Oreochromis niloticus: one gene and its partners. The protein of the gene in region 1 interacts with the protein of each later gene in a pairwise test. Links are inferred from orthologs where the notes say so. Each region holds a gene or a part of one and is shown in the gene's direction. Other genes may lie near its edges.

Evidence for each region.
Region 2: the proteins of RNA binding protein fox-1 homolog 2 (region 1) and rbm42 interact in a two-hybrid assay, tested with the Homo sapiens proteins (2 studies listed by BioGRID and IntAct). The link is inferred for Oreochromis niloticus from reciprocal best matches to the Homo sapiens genes RBFOX2 and RBM42.
Region 3: the proteins of RNA binding protein fox-1 homolog 2 (region 1) and hmga1a interact in a two-hybrid assay, tested with the Homo sapiens proteins (2 studies listed by BioGRID and IntAct, with this or other methods). The link is inferred for Oreochromis niloticus from reciprocal best matches to the Homo sapiens genes RBFOX2 and HMGA1.

What each region holds. Positions count from the first base shown.
Region 1 is NC_031969.2:9,183,344-9,188,324, reverse strand, and holds the start of RNA binding protein fox-1 homolog 2, read left to right. Parts: upstream 1-2,040; 5' UTR 2,041-2,886; coding exon 2,887-3,141; intron 3,142-4,981. UniProt on the Homo sapiens protein: RNA-binding protein that regulates alternative splicing events by binding to 5'-UGCAUGU-3' elements. Prevents binding of U2AF2 to the 3'-splice site.
Region 2 is NC_031976.2:1,904,507-1,909,487, reverse strand, and holds the start of rbm42 (RNA-binding protein 42), read left to right. Parts: upstream 1-1,436; 5' UTR 1,437-1,691; intron 1,692-1,788; 5' UTR 1,789-1,789; coding exon 1,790-1,845; intron 1,846-1,907; exon of another isoform or gene 1,908-3,125; intron 3,126-3,302; coding exon 3,303-3,438; intron 3,439-3,524; coding exon 3,525-3,594; intron 3,595-4,023; coding exon 4,024-4,092; intron 4,093-4,435; coding exon 4,436-4,590; intron 4,591-4,699; coding exon 4,700-4,870; intron 4,871-4,965; coding exon 4,966-4,981. UniProt on the Homo sapiens protein: Binds (via the RRM domain) to the 3'-untranslated region (UTR) of CDKN1A mRNA.
Region 3 is NC_031984.2:12,118,232-12,123,212, forward strand, and holds the start of hmga1a (high mobility group AT-hook 1a), read left to right. Parts: upstream 1-2,118; 5' UTR 2,119-2,271; intron 2,272-2,362; exon of another isoform or gene 2,363-2,532; intron 2,533-2,596; exon of another isoform or gene 2,597-2,991; intron 2,992-3,296; 5' UTR 3,297-3,316; coding exon 3,317-3,415; intron 3,416-4,383; coding exon 4,384-4,464; intron 4,465-4,981. UniProt on the Homo sapiens protein: HMG-I/Y bind preferentially to the minor groove of A+T rich regions in double-stranded DNA. It is suggested that these proteins could function in nucleosome phasing and in the 3'-end processing of mRNA transcripts.

The sequences.
Region 1 (4,981 bases):
CGCACACAGCTGTATAGAAACTCCATCGTGCTAGCTACCACGCAGTACGAGTTATTATAACTGATTGTAAAAAGTCAGCACAACGAAAATAAACTACACCTAAACTCGGTTTATATCTGACCCAAATAGAGTGCAGGTCATAACTTCTTACCTGAAATTCAGTTCACCTCACGCTCCGACCGGCAGCCGCCTGCTTCTCCTGCCTTCGGTTTCCCTGATCCACGATCTACCACCGGTCGATCGGCGGTCGCCTCGCCGCCTCGTTCCCCGCATGTTCTTTCTGACACACACCGGTGGATAGCTGCCCTCGGTTGTAGCTCCGCGTCAGCGACTACCAAACAATTCAGTTATTTTTTCCACATCGACCAGCATCTGGACAATCCACCGCCTTTCACTGTTTGTACCGTTACTAAAAAAAAACCCTCATCGGCTCATAAAAACGAAAAATAAGTCCAGCTATGACCCTGAGTCAAAAAGACAGCCAGCTCGGGTTAGCTAGCTACCTGTCTAGCTCTTTGCAGGCACCGAAAACATCAGAGCTAATATGGGATGTCTTGGTAACACGAGCAGATATTTGAAGTTTACATCTGGCCAATCCACCACCTTTCACTGTTTATACCGTTACTAAAATGAATAAATAAATAAATCATCGGTCCATATAAACGAAAAATAAGTCCAGCTAAAACACATACTGTCGGCGAGCGACCGGGTGCTGACACGAGTTTCACCCGCCTCAATATAAGCCAAGCCTGGGTGCTTTTTCATGAAGGGTCGCTAGCGGTGCTAGCTAACTATGCTAGCGGCGCTAGCTAGCTAGCCGGCTATCAGCAACACATAAGAGAACTGCTGCTAAATAAACTACACCTAAACTCGGTTTATATCTGACCCAAATAGAGTGCAGGTCATAACTTCTTACCTGAAATTCAGTTCACCTCACGCTCCTGCCTTCGCTTTCCCTGATCCACGATTGACCTCCGCATTAGCAAACACCGGTCGATCGGCGGTCGCGGCATGTCCTTTCTGTCATACACCGGTGGATAGCTGCCCACTGTTGTAGCTCCGCATTATAGCACCACCAAACAACTCAGTTATTTTTTCCACATCCAGCTGTAACTCCGATTCTGTGCGAGCATTTGCGAGAGACCGGGGAGGTGAAACGACAGAGAGAGTCCCCTCGCTATCCATTTGCAGCCAAGTGCGGCAGCTAGCTAGGTAGCCGGCTAGCTGTCAGGCAGGACCGACGTCGTCAGAGCACTGTCGCTAAATATGGGATGTCTTGATAAAACAAGCAGATATTTGAAGTTTACACACCTACATTCTCGCCTGAAAATATCTTAAAAGTTTATTTTGTGACCTAGAAACATGAATAAAAGACATATAAAACGAAGTGGTGGCCGCCATTGTTCACTCTGTAGAGGCGTGCTATGAATTGTGGGATATGGAGTTTTCAACACAAGGATAAATCTTTTCGGCTGTACTACTCCCGGTATACCACTAGAGAGAGCCAAGACACCACAAATGAAGTCTGTTTATTTGGCGCCAAAAGATGAATTGGCCTAAATTTGTACTAAAATATTAATATTTAAAAAACTATAAAAGTCATAAACACCAAAAGTCACAACATAATAGTCCAGCTCCAGCCGCACAAAATGATCTAAGATATGTAATCCTAATGTCAAAACTGTTTGGCAGAGGAGCGCGGGAAAATTTTCACTAAAATATTAATATTTAAAAAACTATAAAATTCATAAACACCAAAAGTCATAGCACACCATTCCAGATCCGGCCACACAAAATGAGGTAACATATATGAAGCTTGTCTCAAAACTGCGGGGCGTGATACGTGCCGAAATTTAGGCGGAAGATGGAGAATAATAATAATAAGAATAATAAATCCGACGAATAGTAATATGTGTGCCTCTTGGCATAGGCACACATAATAATAAATCCGACGAATAGTAATATGTGTGCCTCTTGTCATAGGCACACATAATAACTGAGGGCAGAGGAGGAGGGAGCTGTGAGGTGGTGGGATCAGGAGGGAAAAAAGGAGGAGAAGGAGACCGAGGAAAGGCAGACCTCAGACCAGCCCGCCTTACCTCACTCCCCCCTGTCCGCGAGCCCGGTGTTCACGGGCAAATCTGACCGCAGATCAGCGCACTCGCGCTCCCTCCACACTACGAGTTACACCAACTGGGACTGAGACCAGAGGAAATCGTGTTCGTCGGTAGCCAAGGTACGCACGCCAAGACTCATCCACAGCAGACCGAGGCGAGGGAACGGACAAGAAGGGAGAGAATTCAAGGGGAAAGCTGGTAGGAACCACAGAGGAGTTCACTGCAAAAGAAAAAACCCCACACGTTTAGGGGCGAGAGGAGAGGGTGACTGGCTGGCCCCGCAGAAGGAGTAGTATTACTCGAAGCTAATTTCCAACATTTTCTATTCTTGGCAGCGAGAGTGTGCTCTCCGAGCCACATTTATAAAGAGAGCTAGCGGAATGTAATGCTAGCAGGCTAGCCGATGTTAGCTAGCTAATTAGCTTGTCAGGCATCCGAGAGTCGGACGTGTGATCTTTATTAAAATAGGACACTGTCGTCGTTTTTCTTTTTTCAGGGGGGAAAAAGAGAGGGACAACTGTACTTAATGTCCTTTTTGCTTGATTCTGCCATGGTTTTAAAGGTTTGTCTCGCATAGCTAAGGCTAAGTTAGACAATAAACAGTGTAAGCTTGTGTATATTGATGAAAATCCGTTCAATATTATCCGTCTGGGAAAAGCCAAATCCATTGTGAATATCGAGCCGTTGACAAACCCAAAGGAGAAGGCAAAGGTAACAAAAGAAAAGAAAAAGCCAAAGAGACTTTTGACTGGTGACTGTCTCCCGTCCAATGTTAATGTCGACCGACGTTGCATCTATTATGCTACCCGTTAGTCGGGGAATAATGGACCGGGAAAGGGACATTGATACAGCAGCCGGACCCCATGCAAACGCGGCCGGGGGTCCAGCCGTGGTCCGAGGGATGAAGAGAGGCGATCCGGAGCCCGACGCTCAGACTGCCGCTGCCCTCACTGACTTGTCCGGGGCGGAGTGCAAAAGACCAAGGATAGACGGGACCGGGAGTGTTGTTGGTGACATTGGCCAGGTATGAATGCAGTGTAAACACAAAGGATATGTTTCTCACATCTGTGTCGTTTTGTTTCCATCTGTTACAAATGCTGCTCACTGAACTCAGTATCATCCGCCCTCCTTTTCCTTCTTCGCTGTTTTTTCTGTTTGTTTCTAAGCATCAGCTAGGAAGGATGATGATGTTTTTGACAGCCCCCCCCCCCACGCATTTCCCCCTCTAGATAATCATGCATGGGTGCAACAGCAAATCCTTTAATTAAAACAAGCCAAACGCAGGAAAAGTGTCTCAGTAGTAAACGCGTTGCTTGCTGTGATTATCGAGGCTTGCTGTTTGTTCCTCTTGGTGCTGCTCTGACCAAACCAGACAAAGGTAATATGATCCAGGCTCCATTGCTATGACAGTCCCAGACACCACGGCAAAGATCAGAGCCATTCATCATGCCTGCCTCACAGAAGGTAAACCAATGCTTTGTCACATGTTGCGAGGGATTTTGTATTTTTATACTTATGTGGATGAAATTACTTTGAAATGTGCGGATAATTTGTCAGTGAGTCCTGACACACACATGGAGGGCATTTAATGGCTCCGTGTCCCCCCCCCCAGATTGTCGCTAGGTGTTAAAAGAGAGAGGCAGACAAGGATTGGGGGAGGGGTCACCACAGAGAAAGACAAAGAACAGAGCCTTTTTTTGAGCTTGAAGGAGCGAAGGGTCTCTGGGGGGCCTCCTTAACACGGGTCTTCCCTTGCTTTTATGACTCAAATGCTGAGACAGCAAAGCATCAGCGACCGTTCCTGCCTCCCCGGACCAACCTGTGTACGTTACAGTAAACTAAAGAACTGCCGAGGCGAAGGGTGCACCTCTCACTTGTTCTGCCTGGATCTCTTGCTATTTATTTCTCTCTTGCAAACACACAGCACGCATCATTCCTACACCTACACACACATGCTTTGAAGTGCCCCCGTAATGCAATAGTACAAGAGAAAAATTTCAGCTGATGTCTGTTTTTTTTTTTTTTTTTTTTTTTTTTAAAGACCAGGAAAACTGCTCTAACGGTAGTCGAAGGGCAGGCGGAAACGACTTGAGGTCGTCTGCAGGTAATTGAATCCCGGGGAAACTGGTAAAATGCTTCAATGGGCTGTGCAGCTGACCCACTGCAAAGACAGAAAGGTCCAAGTGTGATGCTGTGATGCTCAGTGAGCCTCACAGAGGATGGATGTTGATGATGGCAAAAGGTTATAGCCCGCTGGCAAAGATGATGTGACAATGAGCAGGGCGGCATGTTGTGGATTCTCGCTGCCCATCGGTTGTATTGATTGTTGGGGTCGGGGTGGGGTCGTGTAAATGGAATAAAAGGGAGGATGAGGCTACAGCAAGAGAAAGAGAGTGCACCGAAGGTTGCACGTGGAGGATAAAGAGAGGAAAGCAAGGATCGTGGTTTAATTGGGCATAGTGTGCGAGTGGATTAGAGGAGAGGGAAAGAGGTGTGACTGGGGACTGATAGATGGATAGATGTGGGGATTTTGGGGTGGGGGTGTGGAGGTGGGATAAAGGAGACGGAGGGCAGAGTGAAAATCTGAGCCGTTAGTTTGCATCCATCAGGCGGCATGATAAAGTATGCGAGGGAAGTGATGGATGGCAGGCATGACACCATCAGTTGTGGAAGAGATAAGCATGAGGACAGGGCCTGAATGATGATAATCAGCCCAGTGACACTTTATGCAAAGGATAAATAAATCGGAAAATGACATTGAGGGGATGTATCGAGTAGCTCTCGGGCGCTGCATGGCTGCTCGCGATGGAGATGATGACTCCAGTGGATGTCCCTTGAACTAAATGCACCCAGCAATTACTGTA
Region 2 (4,981 bases), on another chromosome or scaffold:
TCTCCTCCTCTCAGTCCTGCAGGAAATGCAGCGGAGGCGTCGCCCAGAGGGGAGCCATTGAAATGCGGGGTGAAGAATGTGAGAGGGGTCATGGATGATTTTGGCTGCCTGTCTAAGGGCCTGTTGGCTGAAAACCTGTGCCAGAGTTCTGACAGGCAGGCCAATGATTTTAGAGCACACTGATGCCGTGTGCTGCAGTCTGTTCCTGTTCTGAAGGCTGAGGGAGTGGAACCAGCAGGTGATGGAGAACGTCATGATGCTTTCCAGGAAGGCATAGTAGAAAGTCATCATGATGGGTGTGCTGACTCCAAAGGAGTTGAGTTTCCTAGGGAGATATAGCCGTTGGTGGCACCTCCTGAGAATCTCCTCTGTGTTGGCAGAGAAGTTCAGGAGGTTGTCAAAGATGGTTCCCAGGTATTTGTACTCCTCAACTACCTCCACTGGCTTCCCATGGATGGTGGTGGTGACTGAAGCAGCCAGATCCCTCTGCCTACTGGAGAAGGTCACCACCATCTCTTTGGTTTTGCTCACGTTCAGTTCAAGTTTGGAGCTGTCACACTGCTCTACAAACTCCTGAAGAGCGGGCCCGTGGTGTTGTGAGGGGCCTGACAGCTACGACAGGAGAACTGTGTCGTCAGCATATTTCACCAGGTGACAGTTGGGCAGTGTGGATGTGCAGTCATCGGTGTAGAGGATGAAGAGCAGGGGGGAGAGCACACAGCCCTGGGGGGAGCCAGTGGAGGTGGAACGGAGACCAGAAAGAGAGTTGTTGACCCAAACTTTCTGTCCTGTTGGTCAAAAAGTCCAATATCCACAGGATTAGCTGATCATCCAGGTGAAATCGGGAGGGGTAGTCTAAGCAACTTAGTTATTTTATTATTGTGCTGTATTAAAAATCAAAAGTCTAATTTTGACTTAATTTAACTGGAACAGCTTTGAGTGTAAACTAAAAAAATGTAATTATATCTCACACAAGATTTCTGTCTGACCTTTGTTTAAAAACTACAGGGTTCATATAATGGGATATACAGTTATTTTTCCAGCACTTTATGAAGTAAAGGAAACATGAGACGATGAAAGGAGAGGACACCAGATTTCCAAATGCCAAAGGAAAACTGGAGAATGAGAAGCACAGGAAGGAACAGGAGAGAGGAGACAGTCATGTCACAATTTATATCACACAGTTTTAAACATTATTCATAACAGCCAAACGTGATTCAGACAAATGTGAGTGCTGTACAGAAGAGGAAACCATAGAGCAAGCTGTATTACACTGTGAAGCTGAGAGAAGGGTTAGAAGAATGAAAGCTGACTTAAAGTTATTTAAGACTCGTTTGTTTCGGTTTAGCAACGTGATTCACACGCCCTACCAGTTGGTGGCGCTAATGCACCGTTTCGCTGTTTGTCAATCGCTCAACATCAAGAAGACGAAGAAGAAGGCAAAGCAGAAGAACGTTAGGACGGTGGCTCAGTAGCCCGTGAATGTGTATTTGTTAGTGCATAATCCCATTCCTCTTTAGTTGGTTACTACTGTTAGTGTGGAAGTGGGTTAGTGCGGTAAGTGAGTGGGCTGAGAACAGCAGCAGAAACGGGCTCGTTGCTGGTTTAGCTCGAGCCTAATAAGCTAAACATTACTTGTTAGCTTGTAGCCCAGTCTGTCATCGTAGGCAGCGTACAAACTCCAGCTGAAGGTAAGAGTTACACTGGTCAGCCGTGTGGAGACGGAGGCACTTTTCTGAATGCAGCTGTTGTACCGCTGAGCTCATGTCTGCTGTGTTTGTGTCACAGCATGGCGCTCAAGTCCGGCGAGGAGCGTCTGAAGGAGATGGAGGCTGAGATGGCGCTGTAAGTACAACCAGTCAGCCCGGAACATCCTCACTGCACATACACGCCGCAGAGCTGTACTAGCACCTCTTAGATTACGTCGCAGGTTTTTGATGTGAACTCCGTGATTGTTTGCATGTCGACGCGAGGATGCATGAGTGTGTCCTCAGGCCTTTCAGTATTAGCAAGGTGCTTCACTCAGACAGTATTCAGGTCATGCCAACAGCAGGTTTCGCTGCACATGATCAAACTATTGCAGTCGAAACACTTCACTTTAAATATCACAATAACAAAATTAAACTAGTGTTGTAGTGCCCATTTGCCTAACAAACAAAAGATCCCAGTTTGCCTCTGGGAAGAGACACAGATGCATCCAGTGTGCAGGTAACCCCTCAGGCAGCTGTGCAGGAAAATCCCAGCTGACATCCGCATCCAGCCACATTCAAACTCAGTGAAATTTCCAGTTTTCCTCATTCTGGTGTTTGCTTTGAATCAGCAGTCATCTTGATAGTCTTTACAAAACTAAATGTATTGAGTTGCAGGCATGTCAATAGATAATTGTATTAAAAATCAGGTGAACACTTGTACCTAACAAAACGGCCAGTGAGCGTATAGAGCTGCTGCCCTTTCTCTTTACTAGTTTATCTGTGATCCACAGATTACTCACTTTGCTCTTCACTGTTACACCTGAAGGATGTTTCATGACTTTTATTCCAGTTTATTTCCACAGCTTTGTGTATCGGCCATCTGTTAGTGTGGCCATGTGCATTTGCTGCATTTACACAAATGTGTGCTGTGCTGAATGGAACTTTCTGGTGGAAAAGCTTGTTTGCACATAAAATGAAGTGAAGGGCTGAGTTTGATAGATGCAGTCAGGGAAACATTTGAACCCTAGCTGATTTTGTAAGTTTGCTCACAAACAAAGAAATGATCAGTCTATAATTTTAGTGGTAGGTTTATTTGAACAGTGAGAGACAGAACAATAACCAAAACAATGCATTTCAGAAAAGTTATAAATAAATTAGTATTTTGATGAATGAAATAAATATTTGATCCACTGTCAATCAGCAAGATTTCTGCCTCCCAGGTGTATTTTATACAGGTAACGAGCTGACATTAGGAGCCTTCTCAACTCGTTACCTGTATAAAAGAGAGCTGTTCATAGACGCAATCAATCTATCCAGATTCCAAACTCTGCACCATGGCTAAGACCAAGAAGTTTCCAAGGATGTAAGGGTGAAGATTGTGGACCTACACAAGAAATGGGCTACAAGACCATCACCAAGCTGCTGGCTGAGAAGGTGACAGGGCTGAAATCCTCCTATGCTCGCGAGGTCTCCATGCTCAGGAAAGCCCACATACAGGCCCGTTTGAAGTGTTGTGGTCAGATGAGACCAAAATTGAGTGTTTGGAGGAGGAAGAATGCTAGAACACTGTTAAAAATGAAATCCAATACAAACATCACTCTGCTTCTCTAGCTTTGAGCAGGAGGTTCTCGGTGGTCCAGTACCAGTATCAGGAAGTCCACCTGTCATGGAGGCAGTACCTGTAGCTCTGGCTGTCCCAACAGTTCCAGTGGTGCGACCCATTATAGGAACCAACACCTACAGACAGGTTTGTGTGTTATAGAAGTATTGATCTTGATGCGATTAATAAAAACAGCACCCTCTCTCGCTCACACACTCTGTGGTCTTTCTCAGGTCCAGCAGACATTAGAAGCCAGAGCTGCAACTTTTGTTGGACCTCCACCACAAGCCTTTGTGGGACCAGGTAAAGACAAATGCTCACATGACAAGAGTGTCACCATCCAGTAAAAACTCTTCCTCACCTCGACGCACGCTGACAGTTGCTGCCAGCTCGTGGTTCAGTGGTTTGGTTTGTGTTTCAACAAATTTGGATGGAAACCAAAGCTGATGAAAGCTGTAGGCTGTAGCTGGAATGGATAACGATATCAGCTGTTTCCTCAAAAAAGACCCCCCAGTTACCCGCCCACAGCAAAAACAGTGAATATACAGGCGGAGGCAGAGACGTGGGTCCATTTCTTTTAAACGCCATCCAGCTTTTTGTATATCTACATTATTGTGATTGTTTTTGGTTCATGTTGGCTAAGACTCATTTATGTGTGCACTGAGCAAAGTTTAGAGGCTTAAGCAGTATTTCAGATGCCGCCACGCTGTGCTCACTCTGTGTCTGTGTCAGTTCCTCCAGTACGTCCTCCTCCTCCCATGATGAGACCGGCTTTTGTTCCACATATTCTGCAAAGACCAGGTAATTTTTGAAAACTTGGTGTTTTTGCCTTGTGGATGTGTCTGAACATTACATGTAGCATATAGTGTATGAAATCTGCCTTATTTGGAGTTATAACAAGCAAACAGAACATGCAGACCTGATGGTCAGTGTTTCAGGACAGGGTATTAATACAGCACAGGCTTATCACTTTAACTCCACCCGAAGACGGAGTTTAAAGGAATCTGCTGAAAACTCTCTAAGACCCAAACCAATCAGTTGGGTTTGCAGAGTGTTGGGAAGCATTGAAATGGTTTCAAAAACCAGTGTAGATGAAGTTTGTCCCAGCTGAACTTGGATTGTGGGTTTGACTCTGTGTTGTCAGGTGGTCAGAGGTTACAGATGATGCGTGGTCCTCCAGTAGCACCTCCTTTGCCTCGACCTCCTCCACCTCCACCCATGATGCTCCCTCCTTCCCTGCAGGGCCCAATGCCTCAGGGACCCTCTCAGCCCATCCAACCCATGGCTGCTCCACCTCAGGTTCACAAACATGAGTCTGTGTGTGCAGAATGCTTCATGTCTTACTGAGATCATGTAAAATGGACGAGCGTCATCTCGAACCCTCCCTGTCCAAATTTGTCTCTTTCAGGTTGGTGATATGGTTTCAATGGTGTCAGGCCCACCTACACGACAAGTAGCCTCACTTCCTGTCAAACCAACACCATCAATCATCCAGGCAGCACCAACTGTGTACGTTGCTCCTCCTGCCCATGTTGGACTAAAAAGAAATGAAGTTCACGCTCAGAGACAGGCCCGAATGGTAGTTTCATTTTGATCCGTGCATGAACACACACTGGATTCTTTCAGATGTACAGAACTTGTAGTTTCTGAGGCCTTGTGATCTGGGTGTTGCAGGAAGAACTGGCAGCGC
Region 3 (4,981 bases), on another chromosome or scaffold:
GTGTGTGTGAGAGAGAGAGAGAGAGAGAGAGAGAGAGAGAGAGAGAGAGAGAACCTATTTCCCTGTCTCCATCCACATACTGAAGGGTGGGTATGCCAGAGATTTGTGGGGGATGGGCCTGAAGTAGATACGAAGGAAGTGAATAGACTGAGAAATTGAGAGGGAAGGGGGTGGCATGCAAGGCAAGCACATGCTGAGCAGAACATTGGACTCATTGAGAAAAGCGCTCTCCATTCATGCTCTATCCAGTGCCCTATTCACCAAACTCCCGCTCTCCTCGTCATATATGTACAGTGTATTGACATGCATGTGCTCTCCGCTGATAACAAAGCCTTTGGAGTCATTTGATATGTGTGTTTGCTGTAAGTTATTTGAGATCCGCTGTGACCTAACAAACAGAGAGGTAGAATACACACAGAAGAAGGCGAAAGGTCCCCTTACAAGCACTTTCATGTCCCACTGCAATCTCAGAAATCTGTTTTCAATTGGATAGTAGCAGACCCATCAACTCCACATGGGTAGCTCATTTACAGGAGAACCCCTTGTGTGAAAGTGGGCTACCTTTGCATACTACCTACTGGAAGCCTAGGTTGTTTTTATCCGCATTCTCACACCCATGCAATCAACATCAGACGTTTGTCCATTTCACGGGAGCAACATCAAAGGTCGACATATTTAACTATAAGAATAAAAGAGCCAGCAGTAGCAGTAGGGGTGTTTTATGGCTCTTGCATGCGCTTACTCAAGGAACTCCTCTATGGTGGCATATTGTCAGGATGGGATAACTGAGTTGTCTTGTACTCAGATTAACGTTTGCTGAAATACAGCGACAGCTACTGCCTGTTCTCAACAGGTACAACGCAACGCTGCAGTGATATCATAGGAAAAATGAGTGAATAACATAAAAGCAATATTTTGTGCTTTTTTTTTAATGTGGCTAATATTTTTTTTATCATTAAGATAAAGCCATCAGTGAAATATTAAAAATAATATCCAAATGTTGGAATTTTTTTAGAAAAAATAAAATACAAATAAATCCCAAATGCTTAATAAAATTAAAAATCGTTTTTAGTGGGGTGTTTTTGTCATGGTAAACAGCACAAAACACAACCCTATACTATATTATTAACCATTAAACATTTAAGATGAAGGAAAAATTAAGACTACTTTTTTTTAAAATTTTAAAATATGGAAATTAGCTAATAAAAAACTCAGCTCAACAAAGTAAAAACAGATAACAAGGTGAAATAGCTTGGAAAGACTAAAGAATGGACTCAGTTAAAAAGAAAATATAAAAAGATAAAGAGATCAATAAATTAAAATTTAAATATGATACAACAAAGAGCTTGTGGGTGTAGATTTTCTGTATCTATGGTAAGTGGTGTAGATGGTGGTTGGGATCAATTCATTTAAAAAAGATATTCTAACAACAAATAGGTGATTTATGTAAAATGTCGTCTCAACAGATAGAAGCATTTCTGAAACATAAGAAACTGCACCAGGATCACAGCATCACACCCATGTTTTACAGTGTTATTTGCACAGAGGTTTATGCAGGTGAACTATTTACATGTATTACACTGATATTACAAACCTTAAACACATAGAAGATCAGTGTAGTACTGTACCTAAGATCTAAAACCAGAACTGAATTATTTTATGTAATATTCTGCAATACAGAGACAATTTTGTACATTTTCTTCCACTATATTATGATGATATTCATTTTGTTGTTAAACAAACGCATTACTGTGTTATTCATTTAGTAAATATTTAACTTTTCATTTTAATGCATTACTGGAGTCGTGTTTTACCTGCGTAAAGGATGTAAATCATTCCCGAGCTCAAAGGCAGCTTATGTTTACATTGGAGAAGGTCATAGTTCATTCACCATTTTACTGTGGAGACTGTGGTATGTGTTGGTTAAGTTAATGTAGTATGGGACAATATAAATACAGTAAGTAGTCATTCTTTCCTTGGTTCCTAAAAGTATATCCCGCCACTTAAAAACATGTTTTTATATTTTGTGATTGAACCTGGAGAATTAAAGGGATCCGTAAGTGGGTGGCGGGGGGGGGTTGGCCTGCTAGTAGTACTGTTGGTGGCCCACTTATATCTCCGCCCTCCAATGTTCCAGCTCCCATGAGGGCGGCTCTTTAAATTGCCCCAAAACTCCTCCTGGCTGGCGCCTTTTTCCTTTATCTGTAGGAGACAAGACGAGCACGTGCGCTATTTATAGGACGTCGTTGGAGTAAACTTTTCATCCTGCTGGTAATTTGTATTATTTTATTATTTAAAAATAAATCATTAAAAAATGTGTATATATATATTGACCCGCTCTTATTTTAATTCATAACTGTTTTTAAAGCGGCATGAGCTGGGATTTTAAAGGGGCGGGCTGTGTGTTGTCTGACGAATAAAAGCTGTAGCCTATAGATCAGAGCGAGGCTTTTTAACCGGGTACAACCAGCTAGGCTTAAAGGAAACATTTCGTCTTAAATATAGAGCAGAGGTTGCTACCGAGCGATAAAGGTGAGTGCACAAGAAAAAGACGTCGAAAGGCAAGCTAAAGTTTGCAAGCTACAACCGCCTAAATGCATTTTTACAGAGAGGGATCTCCGGCGAGAGGACGCTGCATGCTTTAGATGTGAAGCCGTCTTTTGTTGCTCCGGCCCGGGCTCTCGTTCCCGCAAATGAGCTCTGCTTGCATTTTCTATAGCACTCAAAAAATGGGTGCCGCCATGCAGGCTAGGGCTTTACCCTGCAAATCCAGACGAGCACACACTAGCCATTGTGTGTATGTGCATGTGTGTGTCGGCGGCGGCGGCGGCGGAGGAGGAGGGGGGGGGATATCTCTTCGTCGCCCCGGCGTGCAGACATGCTGCGAGTCTCATGCGCAGGCCCGATTGTTGGCTACAACAACTACAGCAAACGGGCCTCTAAACATGGTCGTGGAGGCAGGGGAGCGCCGGGTTCAGTAGTATTTTGCAGGTTTGCTCGGCCTCCGAACGCTTACTGAGTCCCGGCTGTACCCTGCAAGCCGGTTTGATCCCAATCCAGTGTTTGTGTGGCAGCGTCGGCTATGTAATGGAGCACGGTTGTGACAGAAATAGACCTGGAAATAAGCGCGGATTAATTGAGTTAAACGCGTTACCGGTGTGTGGGTAGGCCGGTCCCCCCCCTTTTTTTTTGTTTGCTGTTGCGGTCACTGAGTTTAATAGCCCGTGTATTTTTCTGTGTGTGAACTCGACGCCTCCCCTTGCTGCAAGAGTGACCGGTGTGATTTATGTCTTTAGGTCTGAAAAGCTACGCAAACATGAGCGACAAGGGGACAGTCTCACCGAAAGAGAAGGAAGCCACAGAGAAGAGAGGGCGTGGAAGACCCCGTAAGCAGCCGCAGGTAAAAACCTCTGACGTAAGTAGTCCCATTCTGTTCTTCTATTTATTGGAGAAAGTGTGCTGTTTTATTATTATTATCATTATCATTATTATTATTATTATTATTATTATTATTATTATTATTATTATTATTATTATTATTATTATTGCATCCCAGAAATTACAGTAAGGATGTATTTAATATTATTAAAAAGATGGGAGCAGATTTTTTTTTTTTTTTTTTAAACCCTTTAACTCAGGTCTGCTGCAGCTGATGCTCAGGTAGATATTATTGCAGCTGAGCTTCTCATGCATATCCCTCAATGAAATTAAGACTCCTGAAATGGCTGCAGCATGCCCTTGTGACCATTTGCCCCTTCCTTATCACTGTAAGGGAAGAACAACAAACTTGCCACATGTCTCACTGGTTTGTAAGCAACCTGTAACCTAAAGCCTTTAAACCAGATTTAACCCCCACGACCCACCTCTGCTCTCCATGTAATGGATGACATAGCAGAGTCGAAGCGCACAGTGGCTCATATACCTGTCACTCAGCCAGCTGTGTTTTTACTATTGAATTGCTCGGTTGCTATGAGCTGCGGTTGTAAACACAGCAGAAATGCAACAGGAGGCGCGTCAGCCATGACGAAGCTTACAACCACACATGAATACGATAACTCACCTCGAGCTGAATGTACCTTGCTTTTTTGCATGTGACGGTAATCCCCTAAGTGCTTACTGTTGCATATTTCCCTTAATGACACATCTGTTATTTGTGAACTTGTATCTGCTGGACCATGGCAACCTTTTTAGCATTTAATGCACATAAGTTGCAATGTCTTTACCTGAGAGAGCTTTTTGTTTTTTGTATGTCTATAATTTGATTTGAAAACCTTGATCAATATACCTTGATCAATATAAACCAGATTTTTAAGAGCTTATGTTGATAAAATATTGTCCAGATGTTGTATACTACCCTAACTTTGTATTGATTGTGATTGCCAGGAACCAAGTGGGTCCCCTACTCCAAAGAGGCCCAGAGGACGGCCGAAGGGCAGCAAAAACAAGACAACCGGCAAGGGCAAAGTAAGTCAATGCAGTCTGCAGACGTGTTTTCACATAGTGACAGTGAGTTCAGCAGCAACGAGCGCACATCCTGATCCGGAATAGCTGCAATTCCAAGATGGGCAGTCGGCGTGGCATTTGTTGTAAATTTGTTTCTTGCAAGTGCTTTGTCTTTTTCTCCAAACCCCTGATTCCTTTTGGTTGATGAACATTTTAACGGTAGCTAACCTCATCCTTGTAAAAGGATGTCCTGCTGTTACTTGAGATATATTTGTTGGCTGTAATCTGGCTGCTTCCCCCTTGTGGTGTCAGAAATAGCTTGGCTAGGGTTTCCCATTGTAAAGACCTTGGTTTACTGCCTCACACTTTTTCTTTTTTTTTTTTGTTGGTGATGCTCACCCTCTACTTCCTGTCCTCCAGCTTCCTGCAGCTTGTCATGCAAAGTGTGGTGCAGGTGCAGAGGCCGCAAGACTGTTTCCAAGCTGACACTAAGCACCCCTCCGCCCCCACCCAGCACACAGCCCTAGTTCTTCTCTGC